Linked DNA regions of Rattus norvegicus. The protein of the gene in region 3 interacts with the protein of the main gene of each other region in a pairwise test. Links are inferred from orthologs where the notes say so. Each region holds a gene or a part of one and is shown on either strand. Other genes may lie near its edges. The genes, in order: Atrip, Cluap1 and Cinp.

Evidence for each region.
Region 1: the proteins of Cinp (region 3) and Atrip interact in binary tests that used the Homo sapiens proteins (3 or more experiments, as listed by UniProt). The link is inferred for Rattus norvegicus from reciprocal best matches to the Homo sapiens genes CINP and ATRIP.
Region 2: the proteins of Cinp (region 3) and Cluap1 interact in binary tests that used the Homo sapiens proteins (3 or more experiments, as listed by UniProt). The two-hybrid records come from large-scale screens. The link is inferred for Rattus norvegicus from reciprocal best matches to the Homo sapiens genes CINP and CLUAP1.

What each region holds. Positions count from the first base shown.
Region 1 is NC_086026.1:118,586,354-118,588,773, reverse strand, and holds the end of Atrip (ATR-interacting protein), read left to right. Parts: intron 1-96; coding exon 97-233; intron 234-331; coding exon of another isoform or gene 332-360; exon of another isoform or gene 361-379; coding exon 380-471; coding exon of another isoform or gene 472-597; exon of another isoform or gene 598-612; coding exon of another isoform or gene 613-723; exon of another isoform or gene 724-876; coding exon 877-957; intron 958-1,068; coding exon 1,069-1,318; intron 1,319-1,710; coding exon 1,711-1,778; 3' UTR 1,779-1,865; downstream 1,866-2,420. UniProt on the Homo sapiens protein: Required for checkpoint signaling after DNA damage. Required for ATR expression, possibly by stabilizing the protein.
Region 2 is NC_086028.1:12,107,855-12,111,506, reverse strand, and holds part of Cluap1 (clusterin-associated protein 1), read left to right. Parts: intron 1-554; coding exon 555-688; intron 689-2,238; coding exon 2,239-2,380; intron 2,381-3,652. UniProt on the Homo sapiens protein: Required for cilia biogenesis. Appears to function within the multiple intraflagellar transport complex B (IFT-B). Key regulator of hedgehog signaling.
Region 3 is NC_086024.1:135,717,751-135,721,905, forward strand, and holds the start of Cinp (cyclin-dependent kinase 2-interacting protein), read right to left. Parts: upstream 2,940-4,155; 5' UTR 2,906-2,939; coding exon 2,899-2,905; intron 1-2,898. UniProt on the Homo sapiens protein: Component of the DNA replication complex, which interacts with two kinases, CDK2 and CDC7, thereby providing a functional and physical link between CDK2 and CDC7 during firing of the origins of replication.

The DNA.
Region 1 (2,420 bases), on a different chromosome or scaffold from region 3:
GGGAGTCTTGAAGTAGTAGGTACAGTCAACTTGAACCCATGCCACACTGCAGTAAGTGTCCTTTTGGAGAGTGTCATAACTGTGACCATTCTCTAGGTTCTCCTTCGTGTTCCCGATGTTGCCACAGTGCCTCTGCTCAGAGCTGCCACTGTCGTGTGTGCTGCTGGCTGTCGAGCTGCTCTCTGTTCTGGTGGACCAGGACAGCCTAGCACAGCAGCTGTGCTCCCACTCAGGTAAAGCAGGGCAGGGCGGCTCTCAACTGTCCTGCAGTGAGAGGGAAGGACTGGGGCAGGTTCAGAGCCCCTCAAGGGCTTCTGTACTTGTACCCCAGGCTACAATGAAAAGGGGGACCCTGAGTGAGGTCTGGAATCCTTTTCAGAAGGCTGCCTTCTCCTGAGGCTGTACATGTACATTACATCAAGGCCTGACAAAACGGCCTCAGAGACACAGTGGCTTCAGCTGGAACAAGAGGTAAGACTCTCAGACTCTGCTCACCCTTCACCCTTCAGGAGCCCAGGGCCTCCTCTCCACTTGTGGGAAAATAGGAGCTACAATTCATTTTGGTCAGTGTGTCAAACAGCAGAGGGTAACATTTAGGGGTTCCTCACACAGATGCAATACAAGTGCATCCTGGGTTGCAGTGGTGCTCAGCAGAGTTGCCTGATCATGCTGCCTGGGGCTTGGGGCCTGATCCTGGTCCTGGAAGCAGTGAGCTGTTGGTGAGATTCAGGTCTGAGAGCCTGAGGCTACCACTACTTGTACCCCACCTGTGCAGGCAAGCAGTTGTTGAAGTAGCTAGAGCACCTTAGGAATGCCCGCAGAAGCCTATGATAACTGGGTTCCACACAGGGTGAACACCATGTCTTCTTGTTCCAGGTAGTGTGGCTCTTGGCCAAGCTGAGTGTGCAGAGCCCTTCCCCCGCTGGCATTGTTTCTGACTGTCAGTGCAATGTAGAGGTGAGTGGCCGGAGGCTAACATCATGGCGGCTCAGTTGGTGAAGGGCAGTCCTGCTTCCCTTGAAGTGTCGAGGTGAGCAAGACCTCAGTCTGTGCCCTCTCTTCCCCTAGGCAGTCAGAGCACTCACTGTGATGTTGCACAGGCAATGGCTGACTGTGCGGCGGGCAGGGGGTCCAAGGACCCACCAGCAGAAGCAGACGGTCCGCTGTCTGCGGGACACTGTGCTGCTGCTGCACAGCCTATCTCAGAAGGACAAGCTCTTTACTGTGCACTGTGTCGAGGTCCTGCATCAGTACGACCAGGTGATGCCAGGGGTCAGCATGCTGATTCGAGCCCTTCCTGATGTGACTGACTGTGAAGGTAAGCTATCAAGAGACTGTCACAGCCTTCATATGCCTCTGCCTGAGGCTGATGAAAAAGTCAGACTCCTTTGCTGGTCTCCTTTCCTTCCCTGAGTCTGCCCTTGCCACCAGAGCCATTCCTGGCACTGCAGACATGGCCTTCCTGCTCTAGGTCTGAGTATGATAGGTTCCCATTTGATTATGTCTATTGAATCGGCCTAGCTGAGCCATGGTTTTTCCACAAAGATCTGTCCCGATTGCTTTTGTATCACTTTTGCTCACAGTAGCTGAGGGAGCAAAGCCTACACATGGAAGGGACTGGTTAGTTCCTGTGCCTCTAGGGAGGATGGGTAGGCCTCCAGGCCCCAGCACCATCAAGTTAATCTCAGAACCCTCTTCCTTTTGGCTCAGAGGCTGCCCTGGATGACCTCTGTGCTGCAGAGACAGATTTGGAAGACGCCGAGATGGACTGTAGCTGAGGGCCTGAGCATCCAGCCACAAGGTGGCACTAGCCCCACCGTCTTTGCCACATCCACTGATTAAAACTGCACTTCCTGCTGAGAACCGGCTTTGTTTCCTGAGTCTTGATTTGTGGGGCTGAGAGGGAGGGACAGAGCAGACTAGGAACTGCTGGATTAGGTGACTCTCCTGCTGGAGTTGAGATGGTCCTGATCAGCCCTGAGGAAAAACCCTGCCCCTCTTCCGGAATTACCCTGAGTCATAGCTTTGGGCCAGGTCCATGGGAGAACAAACTTGTGTAGCTGACAGGAAGGCCTGGATCAAGGCCTGGGGGAAAGGAAAGGAAAGGAAAGGCAGAGACTCACGGGCTTGTTTGAATCCTAGAGACAACCTAGGGAGTTGTCATTGTGGGAGCAGCAGTGATAGTCTACTTTGTTAGCCGGCAGGATCACAGATATGGATCTAGGAAGGCCTTTGGGGTGCTTGGGGAGGGAGGGAGGAGCTTTAGCACGAGGGCCAGGCCTGGCCGGCTAGCTAGCAGGGCGGGCCCTGTTCAGAAGGCAGGCCTCTGGGTGGACCCAGGCAGTTTTACTTCCTGAGCCAGTGCTGCCAGCCACAGAATCAGCGGAGTGCCTTGTTGCCTGCTTATCGGTAAGTGTGGG
Region 2 (3,652 bases), on a different chromosome or scaffold from region 3:
TGTCTTATGTGTGTACGTGTATCTGTATTCGTGTGTGTGTGTATATGTGTGTACGTGTATCTGTATTCATGTGTGTGTGTATATGTGTCTATGTTTGTATCTGTGACTATGTGTAACTACGTATCTGTGTGTGTGTGTGTGTGTGTGTGTCCCCACTCCCTGGGTTGGTATTTTGTAACCAGGGAATGGCCCAAGTGAAGGTTAATAGCTCAAAGTGATGGACCAGGGCCCAGTCCTAACCCAGCGGGCTGGACACAGACCCTATGACCTCTGTCTGTCCGAGACATTGTTCTCTCCACTTTTGCCTGCTTCCATGGACAGAAACACGCACTTTTCATGACAAGAATGGTACTCGTTCCTGTCCTCATGCCCTCCTTCCACTCCTGTCACTGAAAATACTTGGTTAATAAGTTACAGTGGGGGAGGGTTTGTTGGTTGCCCTCGTGCGTGGTTTGTGTGATGCTGCTTTACACAAAGTGTTAAGCAGCTCTGTGCTCAGAGGCAGGCGACAGCCGTCCCTGGCACCTCAGCTCACTGTTCCCTGCTCACTGTAGGCACAGGTTCAGAAGACTAAAGACCTGCTCAACAATGTGGCGTCTGACGAAGCCAATTTAGAAGCCAAAATTGAAAAGAGAAAATTGGAGCTGGAAAGAAATCGGAAGCGATTGCAGACCCTGCAGAGTGTCAGGTAGAGTGACTAGAAAGTTAAGACATCAAAAAGCAGAGTCCACATGCCACAGTTTCTTTGCTGCCTGTCCTAAAGCAGACCGCTGCGCGCTCTCACTCCATACTGCTTTTAATGTCTTCAACGTGGCTGGACACACACCATAAGGGCAAGTTCTCCAGCACTGCCTTGCCTGGTTCACCCAGTGCCACAGCTGGCAAGGGGCAGAGCCAGCTCTCCTGCCCTTGGGACGGCTCACCTGAACCGGCGTCACCAGGGCCAGCTCTACTGTGCAGGACCCACCCTCCCAAGTACAATTTAATTTTTATTAAAAATATACATTCCTGGTTGGATGTAATGATATACACTTTTAATACCAGTACTCGGAAGACAGAGGTAGACAGATCTTTGTGAGTTCAAGGCCAGCTTGGCCTACATAGTGAGTTCCAGACTAAGTCAGGGCTACATAGTAAAACTCTGTCTCAAAAAAATACACATACACACTCATTCCTATCTGTACCTATATCTAGGGACTTAGCATGATGGCACACATATGAAACCCAGCACTCAGGAGGCTGATCAGGAATTCACCAAGGACAGTCTAGGCTACATTAGACCCTACTAAAAACCTGGGAAGATGCAGGTTACATCCAATGCATGTAGTTGGTAATGTATACATAATTTTTTACTTTATTCTCCTGTTTTCAGGGGGTTTTTTTTCTAGCTTTTTATATTGGTTAAAGATATTTTTTTTAAAAAAAGATAATTATGTTCACTTTTTGCCCCATCTACTGCGAGAATGAAGACCATTCTCAGCAGTCAGACTGTTGATGTCACCCTGAAGGGGCGCACAGCCATTGTGAAAGGTCCCAGGGGAACTCTGCGGAGGGACTTCAATCACGTCAATGTAGAGCTGAGTCTCCTTGGAAAGAAGAAGCTCTGGGTTGACAAATGGTGGGGTAACAGGAAGGAACTGGCCACTGTCAGAACCATGTGCAGTCATGTTCAGAACATGATCAAGGGTGTAATGCTGGGTGTCCATTACAAGATGAGGTCTGTGGATGCTCCCTTCCCATGAATGTCGTTATTCAGGAGAGCGGGTCTGTGGTTGAAATCTGAAATTCCTTGGATGAGAAATACATTCACAGGATTCAGATGAGGACAGGTATTGCCTGTTCTGTCTCTCAAGCCCAGAAGGATGAACTAATCCTTGAAGAAAAGGATTGGCTCTGATTCAGCAAGCCACAACAGTTAGAAACAGTATCAGGAAGTTTTGGGATGGCATCCGTGTGTCTGGGAAGGGAACTGTGCAGCAGGCTGATGAGTGAGACCTCAGTTTCCCAGCTCCAGAAACAAGATCCTGATCACAAGTGGGATCTGGGCTCTTTGGCGACAATAAAAGACTTATATATTTAAAAAAAAAAAAACCTGTTCATTTGATGGGTAGAGAGGGGTAAATATGAATTGTTTTTAAGCAGTTTTCAGGTACATGATGCAAGTTGGGAGTCTTAAATACAAATTTCAAACTACTGTGGAGTGACTGCTTTCACTCTTCTTTCCTTTGCTCATCTTAGGCCAGCCTTTATGGATGAGTATGAGAAGGTTGAGGAAGAGCTGCAAAAGCAGTATGACGTCTACCTGGAGAAGTTCCGGAACCTGGCTTACCTGGAGCAGCAGCTTGAGGACCATCACAGGATGGAGCAGGAACGGTTTGAAGTAAGTGCTTGGGCTGCTCACCCGTGCCAAGGTGACAGGAGAGCCGCTGTGTGCTCAGCATGTGCATGGGCTGCGGGGACCTGAGCTGCGGGGCTCACCTTGAGCAGCAAGCACTCGATGTCTGAGGCACCTCCCCAGATCCTCAGTGTGGTCTGGGCAGTAATCAGGGCTGTTTCCTGTGTATTTTAGGGGATGAGAGGGCCAGTGTCTGTGTCACCCAGACCAGCCTCTAGCTTCAGCCTCCACGTGCAGGGACTATAAGATATATACTGCCATACCCAGCTTAGTCAGGGCTCCGTTTGCCAACACACCTGACATACTACCTCCTCCTGTCCTACACCAGGAAGTGTGACCAGGATTTCCTCATTATCTTACCATCCTGGCTTCTCTGTAAGCATCTCCAGTATGAGTGGTGAAGCCATATGGCAGAAACATGGACATACTTTTGCTTTTTTTGGTTGTGAGCAGGAGAGCTGTGGCTTTCTGCACCAGACACATTTCCTGTGTCCACTGTCCTCGCAGCACACACGGTGGCTTCTCTTGTGTCCCTCATTTCCTTTAGAGTGGTGGAAATGGGAGGAAGGCACGGAGCCAGAGCATCAAATGTCAGGGTCACTCCCACAGGCTGCTTGGTAGACAGCAGAGGAAGAGCACAGGTTTAGGGACCTCATAGGTTGCTCAAACAAACTCTTTTGATTTTTTTTTTTTTTAGATTCAATTGATAAGATATAATTGCCCATCTAAACATACAAAGCCCAGTACCATCCATCCCTTAAGAACATTGATAACCTGTAAATACACAGAGCGGAATCTTTACATCAGCCTCCATTGTCCTGCCACAGCTTCTCGGCCTCCCTCCTCCTCCCTTCCTCTCTCTTCGTTCCAGTCTCCTCCTTCAAACTCTTCTCCCGCCCATCCTTCCTTCTCATCCAATGACAGGCCTCCTTCTATCTTATGCCTGCCTCACCTGTGACATCATCTCACATTTCACCCCTTTTGTCTAATTAAAAAAAAAAAACACAACTTTTCTCTCAAATATAAGCTGAGCACAACTATTATCATTTTGTAATTAAGAGCATAAAATATATCTAACACCCAATCCATCACTATATCAGTTAAACAGAACATTTAGTTATCCGTTCCAGCTTAAGAAAGGCTTAAAATCTATATTATATCTTGGCTAGCTATACTATCTGATAACTATCTAATAAAATATGAATATTCAGAGTTAAACAGCCTGATAGGCTATGAGACTATAATCAGTCTTCAACC
Region 3 (4,155 bases):
CTGCCTCAGTGCTGCTCTGCTATTCCAGCATGGGCCACGCTGACTGTTCGTGAGTGTGTGTGTGTGTGTGTGTGTGTCTGCTAACACAGTATTCTTTAGGGCTCTTCTGTTTTTTGGTTTGCTTTGATGGTATTGGGGATTGAGCCTAGGTCCCTGTGCATGCTCCACTGGGCTACATCCCCAGCCCATCCATATACTGTGGGACGATCTCATAAAGTTGCTCTGGCGGGTGGGACCTATTTTACAGCCAAGACAGACTGTGAACTTTCTTCCTGCCTCAGCCTCTGAGGTAGCTTGGGTTGCAGGCTGTGCAACCACACCCAGCCAATAGCTCTGCTTGATCTTTTTCATTCATCCTTTACTAAAACAACTAACAGATACCAGTTGGTTACCTTCAACATGTCAGGCATGGGGGATGAAGTGAGTGAATGAGAACCGGCAATTTGACCACGGCACTTACACTCCCAAAAGAGTCAAAAAGTATACAAGTAAATTACTTTAACCAGTCCAGACCCTAAGCACCATGTAAAAAGGGAACAGAAACCCAGGTGTCCGGGAAAGGCTTTAATCCTAGTGTTCAAGAGAGCCAAGAGATCAAGGCCAGCCAACCACTGTGAGTTCTGGGCTTCAGTTAAAACTGTCTTTGACCATGAACTTGGTGAGTACAAGAAACAGGACAAAGCTGAACAGGTAAGTGGCAAACAAGGGCTCACAGAGCTGGAGCCACACAGGCCACTGCAAGCACAGCAGAGAGCAGGCAGTGACCTGGAGTGGCACCGGGATTCGATCTCCTGTCTCATGGTCTACCTCACTACCAAATGAGTGAACGCACTTGGTTCCCTGCAACCTGAGAATGGAAGGGAGTCCTGGGGGAAGACATCTAAGTGGAGCTAGGGTGGAGATGGGGGGGGAAGGGTCAAAGAGGGACACCCGAAGTGCCATAAAGAAACCTACCTTGTAAGCTAATTAAAATAAATAAATGGTGTAAATATTTTGTGTTCTACCCTCCTATAGGAAGGCCGAGACAGTGACTTGGACAGAGGGAATTGTTAAAAACTTCGGACGCTAGAGAGTAATAACAGAATTCTGGTCATTTTCATTTCAATCTTGAATGTTAAAATCGCCTCACTCGAAAGAAAGAAAACCTCTAAGGAAAAAAAAAATTCTCTGGGTTTTTAGTGGAATATTCCATATGGGGCAGAGTTTATTTTTAAAGGGTTGTTTGTGTGTGTGTGTGTGAATGTGTGGGAGTGATGCCAAGGCCAGAAGGGTGACTGACGTCCTGGAGCTAGAGTTGTAGGTGTTTGTGAGCCGCTCAGTGTGGGTGTGGGGACCAAACTCCACTGCGCTAGAAGAGCAGCAAGTGCTCGGGACTGCTGCCACATCTCCAGCTCTGGATTTCATTTTCTGTATTTTAACGTCACCTTCATTAGGAGACTAGAATATTTCGAGACTTGTTTCTTCTGACCCCAAAATTTCAATGCAACCAGAGAATTTATAGATAAAATTCTGTTTGTATATAACTGTTAACGTATCTGTAGTTTGCAATAGATATATTTGTAATAGTTAAATGCAAAAAAAAGAAACAAAGAAAGAAAGTCTCTGTCCTGGTTACTTTTGCTGTCAGCTTGGTATACCAGGGAAGAGAGCCACCATTTAACAATTGTCTGTGGGGATGTCTGTGTGTTAAATGACGTTCAAGAGCCTGACTCACGGTGGTGGTGCCACCCTTGGGGAAGTGGTCCTGGGCTGTCTAAGAAACTATCTGAGGGGCTGGAGCTGGCTCAGAAGACCCAGCACCCACAAAGAAGCTCACAACCAGCCGTGATCCTTACTCCAGCGGATACCATGTCCACTTGTGGCCTCTGTGGACACTGAACACACATGATACGTTTACATAAATGCTGGCATTAACACTCATACACATAAAAGAAAATCGTAGGAGAAAGCAAACTCGGGAGGTAGTGGAAGGGAAGGAGCCTCCTTCATGGTTCCTGCCGATTTCCCACACTGATGGATTATGACCTGGAAGGGTAAGACAGATAAAATCTTTCCCTCCCAAGATGCTTTTTGGGGACAGTATTTTGACCATAGTAACAGGAAGCAACTTGAACAGTTATTTACTTCAAGAAGTCTTCCTGGATCCCCCAGTTGCATTACGTGTCACTGCAGTAGACATGTTACCTCCTATTGGTCAGCTGTCATCACATTCACTAGTGAGTCTATATTCCCCGCAGGGCTGAGCTCACCCAGAGTAGGGGTTATGTCTCATCCCCTCCCATATCTTGCATACATAGTAGATTTTGAATCTAACGCGTTACATGGAGGAACTGCTCTTACTTCCTGTATTACATTCGTCCTTCGGGGGGGATTCTTAAGGGTGAGGAGCACATCTGACTTAGTTTGCTGGACCCACTTAGGAATCAAAAGCACAGTTCTGACTTCTAGACACTCAGAGGCAAATAGGGAAATATCAGTGAGTCCCAGACCAGCTCTGAGAGAGGCACAGCAGAGGTTTTTAAGCTTGTAAACTAAATGGGACTCAACGAGACCACAGCCATAGGCTAACGTACTGACCCATGCGACACTAATCGACACAGAGACAGCCTTTATCACAAAGTGCAAGCTCCACGGCCGGTCTCACTGACTGCGGGAGTTCGGGGAAGGGTTTCCAGAGGGGTTGGCAGGTCAGGCTTGGCTCCAATGTGCTCCGGGATGCTCTGAGCCTCACACCGCTGACACTTCACCACATTCAGATGACTGACACACCGGAAGGAACAAGGCTCCCGGCAGCCCGCGAGATCCAGGCGCACCCCACACGACACGACACGGGCTCGTTACCTTTCCCCACAAGACCTGTAGCCTCCCCAGCCAGGGAAGCATAGCCCTCTCACGCACCTTCCATGCGGTCCACAGGTAGATACCGAGATGACCAGAAGCCCCGCCCACGGACTAAGGAAGTGATGTCACTTCCGCGGGCCCGCCGACACTTGTAGCTCTGCCGCTCTAGCTCTCCGGCGGAGTCACGGCTCGTCTCTGAGGCCTAACCCGTTGCCTAGGCAACAGGCTCCCGGCAGCCCCTGCGGCCGGGAGTCCATCCCGCCTCCTCCGGGTTGGCGGGGCTGAGGAGTCCTGAGGGGCTGCCGCGGGAGGTGAGTTCGGGAGCGTGCTGGTGGGTGCTGGACGCCTCCGACGTCCCGACGCCGCCCCTCGCCTTTCCGCCCCCTGGCAGGGCCGCCTTTCCTTGTCTCAGCCCCTCAGAGTCTCCACAGCCGTGTTGCCGTCCCCCTGGCAGCCACCGCACGCGGCGCGTCTGTCAGCCCGCGTCTGTGCAGAGCACCGGGCGCCGCAGCGTTCGCACACCGCCCGGGGCCGCCACGGCGCCCCAGCTCCCCTCGCTCCTCCCCTCCTGCCCCACCCTGCATCCCTCTCGCGGCGGGCTCCAGGCTCCTCAGCCTTAAGATTGACATTGCGTTCTGTTCTGTTCCCGGATCCTCAGCTGTATCCCTTACATTCGCCCACCAACGCCAAGCAGCTGGCTTGGGCACCCAGTAGGAGTTGAGTAAGTGTTGGTTAAATGGATACCGAATGCCTCCCTGTGTGGTCTCCGAGGCCGAGTGGACAGTGAGGGTTAAAGAATGGGGTGACCCTGGGGTCAGACTCGGGGTCAGGTCACTGTGCTTCCCCTTCCTACTCGTCTACTGGAGCAAGTGTCAACTTCTAGCTTCAGCTTCGTCATCCGTAAAATGATAAGTTTTTATCTTGGGATAGTGGAGGATTAAATGGGTCAGTGCACGCACAGCCAGGGTCAATAAGGGTTAGTCCTTGCTGTCACCCACCCGGCTCTGTGGGCTTTGCTGGTTTTTCGTTTAGTCCCTTAAGTCTCTGGCTTCCCATTACTTTTGTTTTCCTTCTCAACTTTACTTCTCTTTCCTGCCCCTTGTGCTTCCTTTCTTTCTCACCGATATTCAGTAATTTTCTGTTCCATTTGTTGGCAGCATGGAAGGTGTATTGATTTGTCATTGACTGGAATGATCATTTGCAGCCAAGGTTTTAAAAACTTTCTGGAGCAGGGAGTTGTGGGAAACTCAGGTCCTAGGTGTGAACTCAGGAATTCAAATTTGCTCTAGTTCCTTATCACCGGGAGCGTCCTTG